Linked DNA regions of Caenorhabditis elegans. The protein of the gene in region 2 purifies or fractionates together with the protein of the main gene of each other region. This does not show direct contact. Each region holds a gene or a part of one and is shown on either strand. Other genes may lie near its edges.

Region 1 (11,070 bases), on a different chromosome or scaffold from region 2:
TTCCGTGGTCAGAACATTTTCCAGTTTGTTGTCATTTGTTTCTGATTCTCCGTCTGATTGCTCCGTCTTTTCGTTTTCATTGGAGACATAATTATTCTCGAGAGATTGCACAGTGCTTTGTAACATTGATTGAGTCGATGAATCGATGTCTTTCTGTGTTGCATCTTGGCACGGTATGGAGCTCATGGGCAAGTCATTATTTTGTCTTCCTTTAGTTGCGGCCAGTTCAGAATGCATATCGGTTAAAGAAGGTTGACTTTTCAATTCACAATTCACAATCCTTTCATTCTTCATCTCTGGACTGTTAAATGTTCCGTAACCTTCAAGTTGGCGTTGAGTGATTGTTTCGATTTCAGAAATTTCCATGTCATAGTCTTCGTTTTTCTTCCTGTTGTCGTTATGAATTGAATTCTGAGAAGATTCTAGCTCCAAATGACTGATTAGCTCTTCAGCTTCCTTGTGCTCAATAGTTGAGTTGCATGAAAACGCCCAAACATTGAGATCGCATTCTTCTTCATCTTCTGCACTTTGTCGTTTTGTGTTAGTTTTGTCCTCCTGGATGTTGCCAATATCATCATCGTCATCGATTACTACAACTTCTATTGAATTCGAAACGTTTTGTGCTTTACCACGAGTGATTATGACGTCGCGTTCCTCTTTAGCGGGACAACGAGTTTTTGGCTTTTTCCTCAAAGTCTCGTAAAGATCTTCGATCTTAGGTAGAGTTCTTTTTTCTGCGGCTTTTCGGATTTTTGGATCTGAAAATATGTGTTGTTCGGCATTAAAGTCAGTCAACTACTCACTTTTAACCATATCCCGAAAAAAATTCGCGCAAGCTACAAGGAGGAGATGTTTATGTGGGAAGCATCCCCAACAGAGGAAACCTGATGGCGATTTGTAGATGAAGTGTTCTTGAATGTGCATAAAAATTCCCATGTTGTTTTTGCAAATGCAACTTAACGTGTTTGTTGACATTGATTCCACTTCCCAATAATACTGATCCCACTTTTTGAAATGCTTTTTTCCAATACATGGCAATATAATTTGCGGAAAATGATACAGCAGTACAATCGCCCTTTCAGAGTCCTGTAAATTCATAAAACATGAGTGTGTGGGTTATTTGCTTTGACTACAATTGGCTCTAAACGACCGAAATTAAGCTATAGTCTAAATTTTTTTTAAAGCTTTTCATTCTGTCCGAAATTTAATCTTCAAAAAAATAATAAACCTAGTCATTACAGGATTTTTCCTTGTTATGTACGACAATCGAAACATCAGTATTTTATTACTCACAAATGATGCGTAGTCCTCTTCTTCAACAAGCAATGGTTCAATTGTAGCTTTGGAAAGTGGATAATCACGTTCAGGAACTATATGCTTTTTGATGATAAATGGCTTAAAAGCTGCATCGACTCCGTAATAACAATCTTCGCGTGATTTTGTCCATGAGTATCTCGATAGTGCCAGTTTGTTGTTTCGACCAAAATGCTGAATGTTCTCAGCTCGGGAAATTCTCACATTTTTTATGTATTTATGAAAGTGTGTAAAAAGCTAGATCTAAATCAAAATTTTGTACTGGCGTTTAAATGTGATTCAGTATTCTGAGACTTACTTTAGGTTTTATTTACAGTGTGTTACATTTACTCCATTAAAAGAAATACTTACCGGGCGCCCCATATTCAACAACCTTAATAACGTTTTAATCCGAATAACGCCACTTATTGAAGGGGAAAACAGTTTCGTTGCATATCTGGAAACTATACACGTTTTTAAAATAACCCAATGATTACCGAAATAAAGTTGATGCTAAAACATGCGTCTCATCTCCCAACGTGAAAAGAGGGATTAAGTCCCAAAATGTTTCTTGTGGATGGTCAAAGTATACACCAAGTTTTGCAATTACAGATTTGAATTTCCTATCGTCTGCAAAATGGATTTAGCCGAGTTTTGAAACATTTTGTTTACCTGCAGATTGTATCATAGAAAAGAATTGGCGAGAAGTCATTGTACAAAATTCCGGAATCATTGTAAGATTGTAGAAGCATTCAGGGGTGTCGACTGGGAGCTCATTTTTGTTTAACTGAAAATTCTTCTACTTTCGAATATTCTAGATCTGGTATAAAAAGTAAGAGCCTAGTTGGATTTGTAATGATAGAAGAACTAACTTTTTTAGTGCCATAAACTTCCAGTTCAATCAAAAAAACTGACCTTCAGACAGAATGGCCCTTTTTTTTGGAGATTTGTTTGATTATCATAACTTTCAGAATTTAAATGCAAAATTTTTCTAAGTGCCAAAAGCTTCCAGTTCAATCATAAAAACTGACCTTCAGACATATAAATGACCTCTTTTTTTTTGGGAGATTTACAAAGTTTTCATGATTCTAAAAATCAATATCTGACTTGAAATGAACTTTTTTGGAAATGTTTCTTCGGGGACTTGTTTGAAATTTTTAGCGTTTTTCAGAATTTAAATGCAAATTTTTTCTAGGTGCCAAAAGCTTCCAGTTCAATCAAAAAAATTGACCTTTCAGGCATATAAATGACCCCTTTTTTTTGGGAGATTTACTAAGTATTCATGATTCTAAAAATCAATATCTTACTTGAAATGAACTTTTTTGGAAATGTTTCTTCGGGGACTTGTTTGAAATTTTTAGCGTTTTTCAGAATTTAAATGCAAATTTTTTCTAGGTGCCAAAAGCTTCCAGTTCAATCAAAAAAATTGACCTTTCAGGCATATAAATGACCCCTTTTTTATACTGAGATTTATTTAGTTTTCATAATTTTAAAATTAATATCTCCCCACTAACCATTCACCAATAACCCTTCATAAGCCAAAACTCCGCAGACTACAAAGACTACATAGACTACAAACTATGGACAGACGAACTGTATTTTTTATATATAAGTCTCCCTTTTTTTTGGAGATTTGTTTAATTATCATAACTTTTAAAATTAATATCTTACTTAAAATGAACTTTTTTGAAAAAAAAATGATTGTTGGTCGCTAAAAACAAAAAACTATTTTATTTTAATAAAATAAATACATTTGTTCTTCTAATGAAAAACCTATATTTCTTCATTTTTATTTTTAGAAAAGTTTCAAAAGTTTACGAAGGAGATGATTATTTCTGGGTATTTCTCAAAGAATTTGGTAAACATTTTTTCACAACAAGGGCGCTTGAGAATTGAAGATTTTGTTAATTGCTGTAACTTAACAATGTTTTACTTTTTTTTTTTTTGGCTATGTTAGTGCGATAATAATATAGCTTCAAAACGCCCGCAAAAACTTAACGTGCTGAATTTCTCATCAATGCAAAAACTCGTTGTTTACTCGTTGTCATTGTTAAATATTTAACTCATTCATGTCCGGAATTATAACATTTTTGAATTTTGCATGATTAATAATTTTTGATGCTTAAAGTTTGAATTTCAAAGAAATTATTCAGCAATCTTTAAGAATCACTTTTGCTAGTCACGTTCTATCCGTTTTTCTCTGTTATGCATTATGTATAGTCTTCTTTTGAACTAAATCTTCAATTTCGAGAATCTTTGTTGCTAATCCATCCTTTGAAAGGTTTCTCTTCAGCTATAATTACATCACCCTCTTCTTTCTATCATTATCTTTCACTTCATCTCCTACTCTCCTTTCGAAATATTTCTATACCAATTCTTAGGCTCCAGGCAACAAATACTCAGCAGTCGTTGGTTGAGAGAAAACTAACATGTGCATTATTTTTCAAAATGAAGTCTAGCATTATATGTTTTTAATGAAGCCGCAACGCTGCCTACAACCCTACTTTTTATTATCCAAAAAATTAAAAATTTATGTTAAGCAGTACTTTTCTCATGTTCTATACTGTGTACAAAAAATTCACCTGCACTGGATCCGACAAATAATCGATTCGGTCATGATACTCATCTTGGTCCAAAAAGTTTAATAATCTGCCCAGCTTTTCTATTTGTTCAGGAGACTTAAGCGTTTTTGCTTTATCCAGATACCACTTGCTTTGTATACACTCTATAAAATTAAAAATTGAAACGTTTTCAAACTCAAAGTTCAAAGTTTCAGAGTACTTTTTTTTCAAAGACAATTTAAAATATATCCACTTGTTCATCCATCTTTTTCATCTTTTGTATTTTTCTCTTTTTTTCCTTTTTTTTCAAGTAAACATGATTTTTTTTTGAATAATTTTCAATCACTGTATACGATGTTGAAGAACTAGGTTAGTTTCCAAAAAATACTACTGAGCTCAGCCGAGAGGATTCGTTAAATAATTAATGTACTGTGCGAATAGAATTTTAGAATCAAATCTTTAGAAAACAAATGTTCGAAATATAATAATTAGATTTGAATGAGATTTGGTTCAAATTTATTACATTTTTAAATCATGTTGGACAAAGAAAATTTGCCAAACCTAGCTAAATCTCGGGACACTAATAAATGTTTAAAATGATTCATTAAATACTATTCTAAAACTTTTTGGAAACCATCGAAAAATGATATTTACTTATATTTTTTAAGAGAAAAAAAACATTTCAGCAAAAGGGTTCAATTGTTTTACAAAGTAGTTTACTTTTTCTTTTTTGTAGGAATTAATAACGTACTGTCATAAAGAGTCAAACGATGATTTTCTTCGTTGTCTGAAGTTGAAGTTTCGAGGTCCTCCATTTTCGAAACTATAATTATTAAATTAATGTCAAATTTCAAATGACAGCAGAACAATTAAGTGGTACGTTGGTTACCGTTATAAGTAAACATAAAAAAATCACACGTATCTAGAAAAGGTTACACTGTTGCCCTTAGTTACCCGTGACGATGCCTTCACACTTTTATTTATCACACCCTCTTTTTTTTTTGCGTTTTTGGTCACTCTTGCTTTCGGTGCGAGCATCATTTATGACTTCACTCTCTTTTTTTCAGCATGTATCGCGAAATGCTTCATCAGGGAATTCAGTTATACTGCGAGATTTGGCCGTGCGATCGAGAATGTGGAAAGTTTCACGAAAGGTTCATAAACACAACAAGTAAGATCAAAATAATTTGCGAGTTTCTGAATTTAATAACAAAATTGAGAATTGAGAAGAATGAAAACAATGTCAGAATCAGTGGATCATCAAATACCAATGACAAATGGTGAGTGAGAAAAAACACAACGAAAAATTATTATTCTTTAAGGAAAATCGAAAACAAAAGGAGTTTTCGAGGAAATAATGGAGATGGCAGCAAGAAAGGTGAATATTTTTACATATTTCAAATTATTGAGAATCTTGAATTAGAAATGGTCATCAAATAAAATATTTTCTGTGTGAGACATATCAGAAAAATCCTGCATCAGGTCAACTTGAACTTGGCAATTAAACTGAAGCTTCTAGGTTTTTTAATAATAATTTTTTCAAACTGAATTGGAACGATAATTTTGATGAAATTAGAAAAATAAAGTAAAATTATATATACATATAAAAAAAATACATAGAAAATTTTTTTATTTTTCAAACACGCGTATTCAAAGAATTTCTCAAAATGATTTCCAGAAGTTTCAAAAAATTATGACTCGGATTTCTGTACTGACGTCGCACAATAAGATTCGTGTGACGTCACTTTTTAAAAAGATTAATAAATATATACACCGATGTTTTTTTTAAACGGTATCTTATTTGAAAACTGGGAGGTTAACTAATTCAGGGTCTGACAATTACACACAATATTTCAATTTTCCGCAAAATTTTGTTAGACGTTCCTCTGGCTAGGTTTTCCCCGTAATCAAAAAATTAACCATCAAAACAAATTATAATAATTCTACGATTTTGTCTAGCAAAGTTTTGATGCGCAAGTCGTAGAAACCGGTAAAGATCCCTATCTTCGCGCCTACAATCAATGTGCAACACTTCGAAAAACTTCCAGTTTCCCAGAAGATAAAAATTCGTTATTGGTTTGCAGTAAAGTATTTTGTGCCTGGATAGAAGCTACTTTGTTTGATCTTTCTGATTTTTCTCATTAATCAGTTACGTTACGTTAGTTTATGGTCGCTGGTTCTCAGACTTTCTGTCTCTACAAAACGCTGAAACAATATTTTTTGCCACTTTGCACATTTTTGTTGTTAGTATTTTTTGAATTTGATAAGAGGATTTCAAGCAAGTGCTCTTTCCAAGGATTTATAAAAGAGAGTGTGTAGAGAACAGAATAAGCAAAGAGGTTTACGCAATATAATGAAAAAGTATCGCGGCTTTCGTACTTAACTAATAGTCATTCATGATAGAATTTGTGCAAGGTATGTAAAAGATCGATAAGATAAAACGTGAGAAAAAACTCAAAAGTAACCTATGGACAGAAAACGTCAGGTTCTCCCTTTTTTGTTGCACAAATCACAAAATTCAAAAAAGTTGTTTTTTGTCCTTCATTGGATGAGTGAGCTACTGTATACATTAGAAACTTATTATCAAAAGGCAATAAAATTATGCAAGAGGTTATATTTGCACGGTTATAGAAAATTTCCTGTTAGCAACTCGGAGGGCAAAAAATAATATATACACACAATTTTTACGACTTACGAACACGAGGCCGGAATTTAAATACGTGTAGAAGATCTACAGCAACACAGCAGCTAATCTTACTCTCACTCGTAACTATCAGTAGAGCATTCTGCTGTCAATTGGGCTCCAACAGCGCCACAGTCAGAAGAGGGGAAGGGTAGAAGACCGGCGACCAGGGCAATGGCTGCGACGGCGGTCGCGCTCGGAGCCAAGACGAGAATATGAAGGAAGGAGCCTGTTGTGAGGTGTATGTGAAAGAAGGAAGGAGGCGGGCAACATCCTACCGGTGGTCGGTAGGAGTGATTGTATGACGTTGGAAAACCAAAATAAAGAAGAAGAAATGCCAAAGAGGGTTGTTCGATAATACTGGAAACTTGTGATATTGTGATAACGATGGAAGCTTTGATAAACAGTGGCTCGATCTAGCATGAGCAGCATGAGCAGAAGACAATGAAACCAATTCCTTATCGTTTTCAATAGAGGCAGAGAAGAAACCTTTGATGATATAGATGCACACATTCTTGCGTAGAGTTTCTACGGTATGATACTTCAATCTTCAAATGTTCGTACACCTCTGTACCAATTTAATACGTGTTTAGAATGAGAACGTTTCAAGGTAGGGCTGGAGAAATAAAGGAGTCTCACTGCTGTTCTCAAAAATCGCCCCTTCTTTTCGACATTGAAACATATTAATGCAACGAATATATATTCCCCATGTTATTTCTTATAATGTGGTTTCCGTTTCATAGTTTCCCATCTTTCCCCTTTTTCAATCTGTGTGCATGTTGAGGAGAACAACAGAAAGAGCGACACACGGAAATCAATGCGATGCAGCCATCCCTTTTTTGACCAGAGGAGTACGCGATGAGGGGAAACGGGACAGCGCGCCCGTGTTAAATTAGAAGTTGCGAGGAGCTATGAAGTTGACAACGCCAGCGCCATAGACCGAAACGTCTATAATTTCTGATTGGATAGCCAACGTGAAGAAGAGGGATAGTTGTCTTTCTCCGTTTTTCTCCTTGGGAATATCAATGTAAATCAGAAAGACGAGATTTGGAAAAGTGAATTGGGCGAAAAAAAAGAAAGAGAGAGAAAGATGACGAGCAAAAATATGAAATCGAAGGGAAAAGTGAATGCATACCGTTGTGATTGCTTTGGGCGCGAAAGAACAGAGAGTGCAATGCCATTACATAAAATACAAGCCTCTTTCATTTTAATGAAAAAAGATTGTCATGGCAATGTCAATTTGAATGAAGATAGACGATTCAAATTCAATCAAAATGCCAAAATTAAGGTTTGGGGATTTCACAAAATTTATATTTAATTCCATAATTCCAAAAATTGCACTAATTTTACTTCAATGAAAAAACAAGTAGCTTTTGTTTCCCACTGTTGTTCACTTCTCGAGCTGAAGAGTTTGTTTGTGTAGTTTGTAAGATATCGAAAAGTCTAACAAAACATGCCTGTACAACTTAACTGTTAAGAACTGCTTCACACATTACACTGCGTCCAAATACCATTTGCCATTTGCTAAGTGTGTAATGTTAAACGAAAAGAGTTAGTCTCAAAAAGGGCACACGACAAGTGGGGTGAAGAAGGTACTATGTGATAAGAAACCAATGAAGTATTTGCAAAATGAGTAATGTTAAGGGTGATGATGTGGCTAAAACATAATTAGGTGTTGTTCATAACCAAGGCTCAGGGTTGTGCGGCAACCAGATCGGCAACTGCACAAAACGGCTTATCTCGGTATAGTAATCCTACTTTTTGAAACAAAAATTAAAATAGAAACGTTGTAAAGTGTTTGATTGATTTGAAATTGAATCTTTTTTTTGTTAAAAAGTACCAAATACCGGTAAGTTCGGCGGCCGGCAACCTCTAGGCCTCTATGTGAAGTCCTGCAAAAATTTTTCAGCGAGAATAAGTTTTATTTCCAAATCAATCAGAAACTTCACTGCAATTCTATTTTAATATTTTATTTCTACTTTTCCAACGTTATTACGCTCATATTTAACCTTAATCAGAAGTGGAAACACTTTGTTCAGAGTCTGTGGAGAACTTCAGACCTCAATTAAGCTTTTGGATATGATTTCTGAATTGTTTCAAAAGCTAAGTTGGTAAAAAGTGATAAATGCATAACCAACAATGTAGTAGAAGATGAACCTTGTATACTGAAATAGAATAAATTTTTCAATGTTTCAGGACTCCCAAAACTTCATCGAAGTTCCTCTGCCATCTCTGCCAGAAGAATTTCAATCACTGACGCTGGGAAGTAAGAAACGTGCAAAACGACAAAGCACAAAAGACGCCGATACTACAATGATATTTTTCGATAACCCTGTGTGGGATGACGCAAAATTTCGTCAGGAGCTACTCGATTCTGACGAGGAAAGGTACTCAATAGGTATGTGTTAATAATCGTTTACGAAAACATCTAACAAATTATTGTGTCTCCAGGGGATGCGCCTTACATCATGGACGACGACGACACTCTTGACGACATACTTAGGTAAAGTATTCATAAATATAAGCAATTTAAAATAATAATTTCAGGGACACTTACCACGAATCAGCTTCAAATCCAATAGAGCATTATCAAACTGATGAAACAATCCTTTCGAGTGACGATGAAAACGGTGAGGGAAAAAAAGATGAAAGAAAATGCATAAAATCAATTTAAAAACCACTTAACAGTTTCAGACTACAGCACACTGGATTTGCGACAACAAGCCAATGGTGAGTAATAATAACACAATTTAAATAAGTTTATACTTACATCAGTTAAGGCTCATTCCGTTCGCCAAAATTGCTGGTTCCCAGTCTTCGATCACCAGATGCTAAATATGAAGGAAGTATTTTAGATCTCTAACCTAACGTAATTGGAAAATGTTTTTATTTGAAACCATATCGCATTGTGGCAAATCTTACTTTCTCCATTTCTTATATTTTCCGTCAAAACTAAAACAAATGTTTCTTGTCTTCACAAGCTTTGCAGTAAAACACAATTAATTCAGTAAGAAAATCAGAGAGAAAACAAAATGATCAAATCGAAATACGTGTTGAAATATAGTAAAAAGAGAAGATCGCTCACAAATTCCATATGTGCAACAGCTGCAAAATTGCTTCCTACCATCCACAAGTGACACATTTTCTGAAATTTTCACTACTAAAAAATTAGAAAAACGACAAATTGGTGCTCACTGTAAACATCTTGAATGAATCTCAACAATTTGTTGCTCACTGATGTTTATTTTTGATGTGTCCACTGCAAATGGTAAGATGTAAATTACAATAACAAATAAAAAACAATTAGTGCTATGTTGGCAACTGTATGTGACAGTACTTAAAAGTTCAAGCTGAATACGTTAATCAAATTTGTAAAGGTAGACTATCAATTGTGGAAATTTTGCAAGGATGTTAAGTTATTTTAGCATTATAAAAATACGTTTTATTCATTTTCCAGTTTGTCGTACTCTACCTTCTTAGAACTCTATTCTTAGTATCCTAATTTAAAAAAAAAAACTGAATGTAAATTCAAAAACAAAAAATTAATATCTAATAGAATAAATGTTGACAAAATCTTACGATATGTTTCTAATTTTGTTTATTTGATTTTTCAGTCTTTAAACTATAGTCTATCTGTATAGTTTCAGTAATGATCGCATTGAATTCTCCAGAAGAATATAATAAATGGTCACACTTTGCTTGACAAACATTTTCTCATTGTTTCCTTGGACAGTACTGCTCAATATAGCCAACAATGTGTACATACCTTCTGTGCACACCCTAAGCGGCAAAGGGAGCCCGTCCCTTATCGTTTAACCACCATAATTCATCTCCAACGTGCCAAGATTTGCGTTTCGAATTTAGCATCTTGTTCATTAAGTCGCCCGCAAAAACCTTTAGTTCAAACAGAACAGGCAATAAAGCAAAACATCGTGGTCAGCGTTTAAATAGAAAGTTGTGCGAATTGTGACAAATGACCCTTGAAGATAAATTTCAATCAAAAACGGAGAAGTTCTGAAGAAGTAACCGTGATGTTACACTTTCCCGACCGCAAGACTAATAACGGAAGTGAACACCTTCCAAATACCTCTTGGTAAACCTCTTGGTACATAAGTAAATAAAACCACTGAACAAGTAAAGTCTACTAGGCTCCAAGATTTGTAATATTCGCTTGCTTCCTTAAAGTCTTTATTTTGGATTTTTCATCATTTTGAGCCTTCCAATACAATATTCAAGGAGAAAACCAGTGAGGGTTATTCTAAAAACTAATCTCTGCATTACAAATAAAACATAACGCACCAGTTCGCAAGAAAATACATATATAATTTTTTGCTTCATGAATATATTTTTAAATAAAATATTATTAGTATATTTTTATTGGAGATTATTATTCTTTTCAAAATTCGTTTGAACAGTCAATTCTTAAAACACTATTTGCAATAACATTAGTAATACAATCCCAACGTCAAACCTGTTGCAACTTTTTATATGACTTCACTGTACTCACTTAAATGAGATTCTGTTCTCATTCAT
Region 2 (11,070 bases):
ATAGTTTTTATTTTTTGAATCATGGCAACTATAAATTCTTTCTAATCTTCATTTAAAAGAGATTAGTTCTTTTTTAATAGCCGAACAAGTTTTGCATCATTATTTTTATGACGAAATATGAAAAGTGCAAGTCGGGCGCGTAATGGACGAGAATTTTTAAGGGGAAAATTTCAAAGTTGAATTAAGTTTTTGAAATATTGAACGGGAAGCTGTAAAAAACATTTTTATTCGAAGAAATACCTAAACAAAGCAAAAAAGTAAAAAAAAAGTTTTGAAAGCAGACAATCTGCATTTTTCCGTCATGGTGACTGCGGATCGTGACGAGACCTGAACATTTTCCGAAGCATGCTCCTTTAAAGTTACGGTATTTTGTTTCTGTTTTGTTTTTGAATTTACTTTTCGTTTTCAAGTTTTTTCTCTAATTTTGAATCATTTTCCCATATTTTTCAATCAAATTTTTATATCTCCACACTTTTATGAGTCTCTAATTCCTCTTCCGATTGTTTTCATGTCGAAAAACCTGAAAATCTGCCGTGCCCAATCTCAAATTTCTCCCTCTCCATTCGTGTTCTCACTGTTCCGATCTTCCGTAGCTCTCACTGTTTATATAAACAAATTGTCTGCGGCGGAAAGAGACGTCGGCGAATATCGTCAGCCCGCAAGTGGCAACCTCTCCTCTCGAATGTAAACATATCCAATACACCACTTCTTTTTTTTTCTATGTCAAGTGCTATCAAAAGTGATGAAAAGAAACTGGGAAAAGACATGTCTTCCCGTGAATCATCCAGTTCTGTTCCGGAGTAGCTAAACGTAGGAAATGCACTTTTATAGCTGAAAAAGCTGTATAAATCTGTAATCAAAATTAATTTGAATGTTTTTTTCAGTCCTCGTAGATACTTTTTATCAATAACAAACTCGATACGATTCGAATTTCCGCCCACAAAACAAAAACGGCGGTAATTGGGTAGTTGTACTGTAATTGATATATATGAATTGTGGGAGTGTGTGTGTGTGTCACAGAGCCTATTAAAATCAAATCGAATTAGAAAACTCTACAGAGAGAGCGCGTTCTTCTTATCAAGACTAGTCCTCGACAATTGATGTTGCTTCGTCATTGGCTGCAGAGAAGGGGGTTTAAACGTCGATTCGACCTTGTTTGAATTAGAAATCTTCTGTTTCGTCTGCCGTCGTAGTGTAACAATGGGCTCAGATTCGGCAAGGAGAAAGTTCGGCGCCGCAAGATTTGAACGATGTGGGTGGTTACGGATGACAATTATTTGAAAATTCCTAATATTAGTCAACTTTCGAAAGGGTTAGTTAGAATAAAATATCATATAAAATTTTGATATCGATTTCTTTAACGTGCATTCCGTGTACAGTTTCAAAAAGTCCAAAAACAAAAAAATCAGGTCAAAACCTTGAACCCTCTAGTTAATGTAAAATAAAAATTCGAAGACGCACGTGCAAAAACACAGCAATTGATCGCTGACTGGTTCGAAGGGGTTGTGTCAATGACAAGAGAATCACGAGACCCTTTTGATAAGAGAAATGATGATGATGGTGTCTTGAAGAGGGTTAGGGGCAGCTGTTTAGTTGGAATAACACATCAATATGTGTACAATTCCTCTAAAACATGTGTCAAAGATTACACATGAAAAGAAATAAAAATTCGAAAAATTGTTTGTCTTAAAATGTTTTTATCTGAAAAAGTTCCGGAATAAGTCACAAATTAGAGATCAAACAAATTTCCGGATTTCATTCATTTTTCAATATTCAAATCAGCAAACGAAAAATTCGAATCTATTCGAACTAGTTCAATTAACACCCCAACTAATTTTGGCAGTAATCGTCTCGAAAAATGAAGGCACGACGCGGAGAACTGGTTTCCTATTACTAAATATGTCAGGGTTACAGAAGAGAAGAGACAAGGGCATTCCGTTCCGTTGGTTAGATCATTATCATCAATATTTTGTTTTTAGTTTATCAAGAATTGTTTATTTTAGTTTTGGTTCGCAGTAATAACGGGATGTGGTTTAGACTTCGAAAGTTACGGTATCTTAATTTAAAAATGACGTCAACTAGACTATTCTCTAATTGGATAGAATTTAGTCAACGGGTTTTAGAAATCAATCAGTAAATTATCTCAAAATTCGTCTCTACTAGAAATTTTCAATTTGAAAATTATAGTCCAAGAAATGAGATACAAAAAATTCCTCCAAGAACAATTTAAAAAAATAGAAAAGGGTACAAATCCATTCTATTTACGATCTTTTCTACAAATTTCTCCCATGCACATAAAGCTACAGTATGTCGGTTGATTTTCTAATGGAGACGGCTCTTTTCTGACTTAAAAGTTGAGAGAAATATAATTTATATTTCTGACTACATCTAATAGTAAGAAGCTTGAGAGCGCTTAAAAATTAGAAATTACTAAAATAATTTAACTTTTTAGTAAGTGTATGCTTTTTTCGAATAATTTAAAATAAGAATTACTCAAAAATTGTAAGATATTTAAGCACAAAAACTCTTTTAGTTAAACGAACAAAGCACTGTTATACATAAGCATGTATGTATATATCTATATAACAAAAATGTACTATAGACTCAATGTTGAAGGGAAGGAAAGACACAAGGGCAGGCCAGTTCGTTTCGTAGGCAATAGAGACTCGTTGCGGCCACCTCTCTCTTGCAAACGCTATTTCCTCGCTATCCTTCACTTACACACTCGCACATAAGAGACCGCCCGTGTCTCGAGTCTCCACTTTTTACATGCTCTTTCATCAAGTATACGGTGTCTGATGCATCTCTCTGGTTTCTCTCGTCTATTGATTGAGAAATGTGTGGGGATAGGGGGCGCAGCACGACGAAAAACGAAAAAGCGACGTTAGAGAGATGGAGAGTGTCTGTGGTTGTGTGTGTGTGTGCCTCAACCATCTTCGGCAGAATTTGTTGAATAGACATTTATCTCACGTTTTTTTTCGTAGATTTGAAAAGTAGATTTTTTCCGCTAATTTTGTTATTTTATGAGAATCTTTTAACATTTAACTACTTACTTTTATAAATTCCGCGCAATTTTCGTTCAGAAGTTCAACATTTTGGATTTTAGAATAATGATTTTTAAAATAACTGAAATACAATACAAAATTCAATTTATTTTATGTAAATTTAAATATTTTAGTTCAGAATTAGAAAAAAAAACATCAAAAATAATCCAATTTGTTTTGTTTTTGAATTTTTATTAATGATTTTTTAATATCATATAATACTTTTTGCGAAAAGAAATGTTCGTTATTTTCTAATTTTCAGTGCCCTTGGTCTTTTAATTTTTTATAAGTAGTCAACTATTATATAAAATTCAGAAAAATTTCCAATTTTTCATTATTCGTTGCTAATGAAATTTTAGAAAAAGAAAATGTCACGAGTAGTATATTTTCAAATTTATTATGCATATTTTTGGAATTACTAATGTGAAATTTCTTGGTGTTTAATTTTGGTCACTTTTGGAAGTTAAATGAAATTCTCGGAATCGTGACTCAACTAGACTTTTTTTTCAATCAAATTAAATAATTTCAGTGGTCTTTGTTTTGTTCAATTATTCCTTCAAAAAGTTATGAATCATACTTTATGAAAACAAAAAAGAAAAAAATCAATTAGTGACACCTGGCACCAGTTTTTTCCAGCTGCTGAACAGATTCCGTATTTTATAGTTTTTTTTTCAACTTTTTACGGAAAACTATTGACGAAAAATATGAAATAATCAATATTGTTCTGTAAATTCCTCATTTTCTGAACAACCTACGCACAATTTACAATTTTCAATCCAATGGGGATACTGTAGAAAAGGTTTCTGAACGAAGGAAAAGAATGTGAAAAAACGGGGAAAACATTTCGCAATCATCTTTTCTCTCTCACTCTAAGAGTTCGTTTTCTTTTTTCTTTTCTCTCGCAAATACACACACACACAACGACACATCCATTATTTCTCCCCCACACACACAATTTTCCGCTTTTTTCCTGATGCTCCATTGCTCTTAGCAATTTTCTGCGTGTGTGTGGAAATTATCCAATAATTTTATGAAAAGTAACTCTATCAATTAGCCCCACGGACTACCAAAATTTCTTGGCATTTGCCTGTCATAAATGTATTTTATGGGGTCGCTGAGCAGCACTTTTCACCAATTTTCAAAGCCCACTTTGTCCAAAAAAGGCAGATACTGTAGTTTTATGTGAAAATTGAAGAAAATTGGAGAAACATGCTCTGCTAGACTAGTATTATCTACTTTTTTTCTAGACTACAATTTATTTTACGATTTTTATCTATTTTTGGCTCACGTTTTCTTGTTTCCAGGCAACTAGTTATTTTGGGTTTTTTTTCGTATTTTTGTAGACTTGTTGTGGAGATTTTGAGTACAAAAGTTGAAATGGAACATTAACTATTATTTATTTTTCAAAAATTTCCAAAAAAAAAGTGTATTTTTCATCATGAAAAATGTTTTCAAAGTTTAATTTTCCTCTATTATTTAAATTAATTCATTTCAATTTTCGACTCTCGAAAATAATAATTTTTGTGTCAATTTTTTCTGGTTTTCCTCAGCTCACACCGCTTTTTTCTCGATTTTTTGGGCTGTCCTCTAGGAAAAAAAACTTTTCGCAACCCATTTTTTTCATTTCACTTACCCTAACTCTCCATATGTCGTCTCCCGTCCGACACCAATATTGACATAAACTTTTTTCAAAAACTAAAGTACACAAAAAGGGTCCAGTCATTCATCAACGAGGGAATTGAAATCTTGAGAATAAAACCTTGTAGCTATTTTTTGAAATTGGAAATTGTTTAAAAATTCTCATATAGTTCTGAGATATTTTACTATCGTAGAAAAACGTTACAATTTTTTGAGACTTTTTAAAAATTAACAGTAAAAAATCAGGTAAAATAGTTTTGGAAGCCGACCAAAAAACCCAAAATTTTTTGAGAAAAAATCTAAAATTGTTTTATTTATTATGATCACTTTCGATTATTATAATTATATTTCTACAAAATCCCCACTACTCCACCTTAAATAAAATGAACATATCTTCAATTTAAAATCAAATACTTTGACACCTTCATTTTTCCATTATCAACTACAAAAAACAATTGTTGTCAATCTTTTTCTACCGTTTTCCGTCACTTTTTCAATTGACAGTCGACCGATTTATTTTTTGATCGATCGATCGTTTTTATTATCTATTCGATAATATGAATGATAATATCGTGCCTGTCCGTCTCTCTTTTTTCACTTACTTATTCTTCTATTCATTTCTGCAGCTGATAGTAATTTGGCTTTGAAAACGGAAAAAAACTATAGACAATGTTTTTCTTAATTTAAAAATATTTCTGGAACTTTTTACTTAATTTTTTAGCTAATCAAAAAAACTATAATTTTCACGATTTCAATTTTTTTTTTCAAAATTTCTGAAGACCCAGAATAGCGGCCGAAAGATCACATTTTCTTTCTATTAAAACTTGATTGAACGATAATTGTACTTTTCACACCACTGATTGCCTTTTCTCTCGTGATTGAATTTGAAATTCCTTTTATTGATTGTCGATCGTATTTCTTTTTTTTTTTCAAATTTCTCCACCTTCTCATTATTAAAATAGTTTTTTTTTCAGTAAAAGGGAATGCGCTGAGATTGTCCATACTTACCCTAATCACACAAAATTCTGAAAAATGACAACGGTGCGGCTTCATCTGCGTCGAATTATGTGCAATTCTAGTCGAGCACAAACTGCTCAGCATACTGAAGAAGAAAGGAAACGAACCATCATTTCGTAAGTTTTTAAAAAATTCATGTTGTTAATAAAAATGTTTGAATTTTTCAGATTGCAAGGTGGCAAATCGTTTGGTCGAGCTACAACCAACGATGTGATTTTTCTTGATGGAACGGAACATGTCGAATTGGAGTGAGTTTTCTTATTAAAGAAAAACAAAATATTATTCATAAAAATTCTTATAACGTAAAATCCAAAAATCTCAACCCCTTAATCAACTTTTGTGATTCATAATGTTGAATCCAATTTCACGTCGCCCCTCCCGTCGTCTATCCCATAGCAACCAACACAGCCATGATTTCTGTCTCGTATTGCGGTGGCACTTGGTCGACCAAAACTTATATATTTTTATGTTGTTTTTCTTATTCGGAATTGGTAGTCTCGACACTGTTTGTTAGGATAGGATATAAGGAAATTCGACAGAAAAATACGAAAAATTGGCCGAAATATCCCTTTTCTCTCTTCAAACCATTGTTATTTTCTACAAATTTATATTAATTCGCAAAAAAAGATCACAAAAATTGTTCTACAGTAGTATTATCAGGTTATCAGACAATATCTAATCCTTTTGCCCTTGAAATTTAAAATCTCGTTTCACTGATCCTTTTTCTCAAGGATAAGCAAACTATTTTTGAATGAAACTTTTGAATTTTTGAAAAAAAAAACATGAAAATGTTAAAATATTTCTCAATTTTCTAAACGAGTTTTCTTGGAACAGGTGGAAATTCACTTTTCAGCTTGAAGTCCAAGTTTTTCGCCAATTTATTTTATTATCACATATAAATTTTTCAATAGAAAAATAACTTTCTTTGACCATTTTGACCAAAATTTCCGATATAATGAGTTGCACGACCACTTTCTCAGTTTAATTTATGTATTATTTTATAAAAATATCTCCATTTTGAACGTTCCAATTATCTTTGTCACATAATAATAATAGTAATGTTTCTCATTGTGATTACTTATATTTCTAATAATTCTCATATATCTGACTAGACTATTTCAATGATAGAAATAATAATATGTTAATTAGAAAATCTAACTATACGACATGCTTTTCTTCTGTTTTTCCCACCTGCAACTATATACTCCCAGTTATATAGCTCTGACTATACAACTTTAATCTGTTTCGACATGTATCACTGAAATAACTAAACGTTTCTTATAAGTAGACATTTATGCAAATTCGAAATTTAAAATTTTCTATATAAATTAAAAATAAATCATGTTTCAGACCACAATTCATATCTCGGTGCCACGCGCGCGTTCATCATACGAATCAAGACGGTGTTGAGGAGTATCTTGTTGAGGATATATCAGAAAACGGAACGTATATCAACGATCGACGTTTATCGGTATTTTACAATTTTTACAGTAGTCTCCTAAAACCCTCATAATTGCAGAAAGACAAACGAGAGATTCTAAAAAGTGGCGATACTATCAAATTTGGTCATAAAAACGGATCTCAACACGTTGCTGATCAAAAATACGACCATCCAGACGCGGATTTTGCATTTTGTGTGGAAATGTCCACTGCTGGAGAGCCTGCTTATCAACTTGTTGAACAGATCAGAGACTCGAGAGTGAAGGTATTCGCCGGAACAGCTTGTGCGAAAGATATTGGTCCACGAGAACCTTCTACAACGAATAAGGTTCTTCAACAGGAGGCGGATTCGACAAACGGTAAGAAGCCTAGAAATTGAAAGTTTTGAAGATGAAAAATCAGTTTTTCAGGTGGTCCGGAAATGGAAAACAACAGAGCATCGTCTGCTTCATCAGCGACACCAGAAGATACTCAGATGCCGGTATATTTATTATCATGAATGATGATTATATAGAACTATGAATTTTCAGAGCACATCGCAATACTTCTGCTCCATCCCAAAGAAAACACCATTCCGGAAAGAGTTTGATTCTCCGCTGCATAACTACATTTACCGGACATCAAGGCATTCTCCACTTTATCGGAAAAAGCTGGCAGAACAAGCTCAGAGAATGGCCGTGAAAAATGGAACATTTGTTAACGATTCTGGAGTTATTGAGCTTCTTTCTCATCTATTGGATATTAATGTGGCTTATGAGAATCTGGTGACAAAGAACGAGAAATTGGAAATTATTGGAACGTTTTGCGAGAAAAACAAAGGAAGCTTCAAGGTGGACGAGCTGAGTAGACGAAAAGAAGAGTTAGCTGTGATGATGGAAGAAGAAGAACCACAGACAATTGAGATTAGAGAATTGCTCGTGTCACTCAGTGAAAAAGCACAGGATGTTCAATCAAATGATTTCACAATCTCTGCATCCAGCGCCTTCACAGTAATCAGCACAAGTGGTGTTCTCTGTCCAACAGCAAGTCTTGCGAACGAAAGTGAAGATAGTTATATACAACATCTCAAATCCATCAATATTTCAAGTGAAAAGTCGAGGAAAATTGCAGACGAACTGAAAACTGTTCGAAATTCGGAAGTAGCTCCAATTGAGAATAAGCCGCTCAGTCCGGAGATGATGGTAGTTTTGCACCGTCTTGTAAAAGCAAAGGAGCATAATAACAAAGTAGCTCACGTGTATACAGGGAATTATGCGAGCACTGTTTCAAGAGTCATGGAAATGGTTCCGATAACATCTCAAGTTGCGGTGATAACTACAGCAGGAACGCCGAAGCATACATCAAAAGGATCAGCTGAAACTGCGCCTATGGAAGTTGATGATGAGAGGCATTCTGCTAGCAGTGGATCAACTGAAAACAACTATCGAAGAAGAACTGATTCGGAAGAAAGTGAAATCTTGGACGTTGTTGGAACAGATGAGCCTGATAAGGACGAGAAGGGAGGAACTGAAACCGAGACTCCAACGCCATCCCCAGAAGATCATGGACGGCAAACTCAAAATAAGATTGACAAGAATGTCCGGATGAGTTCTACACCCAGAATTGACGCCCAATCAACACCATCAGCAGTTGTTTCTGCACTTCCCACTCCAATGAATTCACCGTTGCCTAGAGTAACTTCTTCAAAATCTGCGCAAGATGTGTCGACGCCTTCTACAACACCCAATCCGGTATCGCGATCGCCAGACCCTGTGGCTCTCGTTAAGGATTCGGTATCTTCAGAATCAACTGTTTCTGGCATTGTTTCTTTGGAAAAAATAGGATCACCTGCAGCACAATCTGTGGCTTCTGTCCTTCCATCTGTTTCAAACACAACATCCTCCACATCTGCATCTCTGACAACGTCTTCGGTAGCAGAGGAAGAAGAGACTTCTAGCAAAGAAAATACAGATCAGAAACGAGCTGTTGATGATTCATCAGACGAATCAGCTCGTCTTGTTAAACAAATCAAGGCGCTTTCGGCAACTCCATCATCCACACCTGCAGAATCTTCGAAGAGGAAACAAAAAGATACATCTTCCCGAAAAATGAAACAACTTGATGAATCATCTGCTGATTCTGATTCCGAAGATGATGGAAGATCGGGCGATAAGTCTACAAAACGAAGAGATAAAGCAAGAAGATCAACCCGAATTGGAAAATCAACACCTGCAAAGAAAGTTGGAAAGAAAGAAAAAGTTGTTGAAGATGAAGATGAGACTGATGATGTTCAAGAAGAAGAGAAGGTCACTCCACGAGGAGGCCGTAGAAAAAACATGAAAAGAACAGCCAGTCAATCAGCGATCAAGGAAAGAAAGACAAAAGACAAGGACGTAGAGCCAGAAGAAGCACCGAAGAAGAAACGAGGAAGGGTTCGTGATTTTTGAATAAACTTGAATTAAATTTCTAAAACTTTAAATTACAGAAGAAGGCGACACCTACCGAAGAAGAAGAACCACCAAAAACGGAGCCAAGCAAGGAAAGATGTGGTGTAGCAAAAGGACATTGTATATCTGCCAAATACGAAAAGAGAAAAAACTTACAATGGGTACACACTCAAAATATTTTTATTTTACAAATATGATTTCCAGGTTTCCTGCTCCATCTGTAATCAATGGTTCCACGTGTGGTGTGTTCGTCTTGACAACGTTTGTTATCGAGAAGACGAGACCTTCCTGTGCTGTGGATCACATCCATCAAAAGAAGCCAAAGACGCGTTAGCCGGTCGAGTTTATGCGAGGTATCAAGCAATGCCGAATAAAAAGCCAATCCCACAGGCTTCTGAAGCTTGAAATTTTTCATCATTTGCAACAACATCTTACCATTCATTTTATCATAATTTCGCCCCAGGAATAATTAGTGACATCGAGGTAGCATTTCATTTATTAAATATTCTTTCTAATCAATCATTTATAATCCCCCTATTTCTGTATTTTAAGATCTTATGTGGAAAACGAAATTAATTTTTCAATTTCCATACAGTTAGAGTATTTCCCCTCCAAAAAAACACGTTTCGTCTGTCTCTTTTGATTATTTCGCGGGTTAAAAAACTCTTATTTATGGCCATTCGGTTGATTTTCCTCTTTTTTGCCTAGGCGATTTCTTTCCTGTTTGTTTTTTTACTTTTCTTGTTTTTATTTTTCCTCTTTTCCCCACCCAAAAACTAACAAAAAAACCCGAGTTGTGAATTGTGTGATCTCTGGAGATTCCGCACAATTTTAGGATAATCTAGCCGGCGAGATTCCCCCATCATCCCAACATCATCATCTTTTACCATCCCAATGAGTAGTGTCGTTTTGTTTTCGGTTTATCTTTTTTTTTTACAAGTTTAATTCTAATATACTCAACCGATTAGCCTAGGATAATGCAGCCAACTGACTTAAATTTCTCACTTTTCCCTCTCAATAACTCGATATTCTTTATCGAAATTTGCCTTTTTTCTGTTCAGATTTCACATCAAAAAGAATGGTGTCCCCCGAATCTTTGATATTTTGCTAAAATTTGTATTTTTCATTACTGTTCGGTGTTCACGAATAAAGTTTGATAAAGTTTGATTTAATTATCTGAAAATGTCGATTATTTAATTTTCAGTTATTGCTTAACAGATATTTAATTTATTATGTAAATTTAAGTACATTGAGAGTGGAAATAAATTCGAATTTGATGTTCCAAACAAAGCGATGCTGTATTTGAAGAAAATAATTCTGAAAAAGCAATTTATAATTTATACGAATCACAATCTTTTGCCTCAGAAACTCCTTTCATTTTTCTTTCTGGAATTTTGACCAGTGAAATTGGGACGACAATTTTTAAAAAATTAGGAGAACAATACAGTAGCCCGTCGCGCAAAATATCTCGTAGCGAAAACTACAGTAATTCTTTAAATGATTAC

What was found.
Region 1: the proteins of gldi-3 (region 2) and C05C9.3 fractionate together in Caenorhabditis elegans (co-fractionation; one large-scale study listed by BioGRID). This does not show direct contact.

The regions. Positions count from the first base shown.
Region 1 is NC_003284.9:11,148,144-11,159,213, forward strand, and holds the start of C05C9.3 (ULP_PROTEASE domain-containing protein), read right to left. Parts: upstream 4,678-11,070; 5' UTR 4,670-4,677; coding exon 4,606-4,669; intron 4,019-4,605; coding exon 3,876-4,018; intron 2,081-3,875; coding exon 1,966-2,080; intron 1,924-1,965; coding exon 1,791-1,923; intron 1,751-1,790; coding exon 1,666-1,750; intron 1,489-1,665; coding exon 1,294-1,488; intron 1,087-1,293; coding exon 804-1,086; intron 759-803; coding exon 1-758. Other genes in the region: C05C9.2 (uncharacterized protein), read left to right, coding at 4,923-5,025, 5,075-5,134, 5,177-5,232, 8,734-8,935, 8,989-9,040, 9,085-9,167, 9,232-9,267, 9,318-9,400.
Region 2 is NC_003280.10:9,274,685-9,285,754, reverse strand, and holds gldi-3 (Germ layers disorganized gldi-3), read left to right. Parts: upstream 1-5,656; 5' UTR 5,657-5,714; coding exon 5,715-5,815; intron 5,816-5,866; coding exon 5,867-5,947; intron 5,948-7,049; coding exon 7,050-7,170; intron 7,171-7,218; coding exon 7,219-7,498; intron 7,499-7,549; coding exon 7,550-7,620; intron 7,621-7,669; coding exon 7,670-9,550; intron 9,551-9,603; coding exon 9,604-9,726; intron 9,727-9,769; coding exon 9,770-9,970; 3' UTR 9,971-10,731; downstream 10,732-11,070.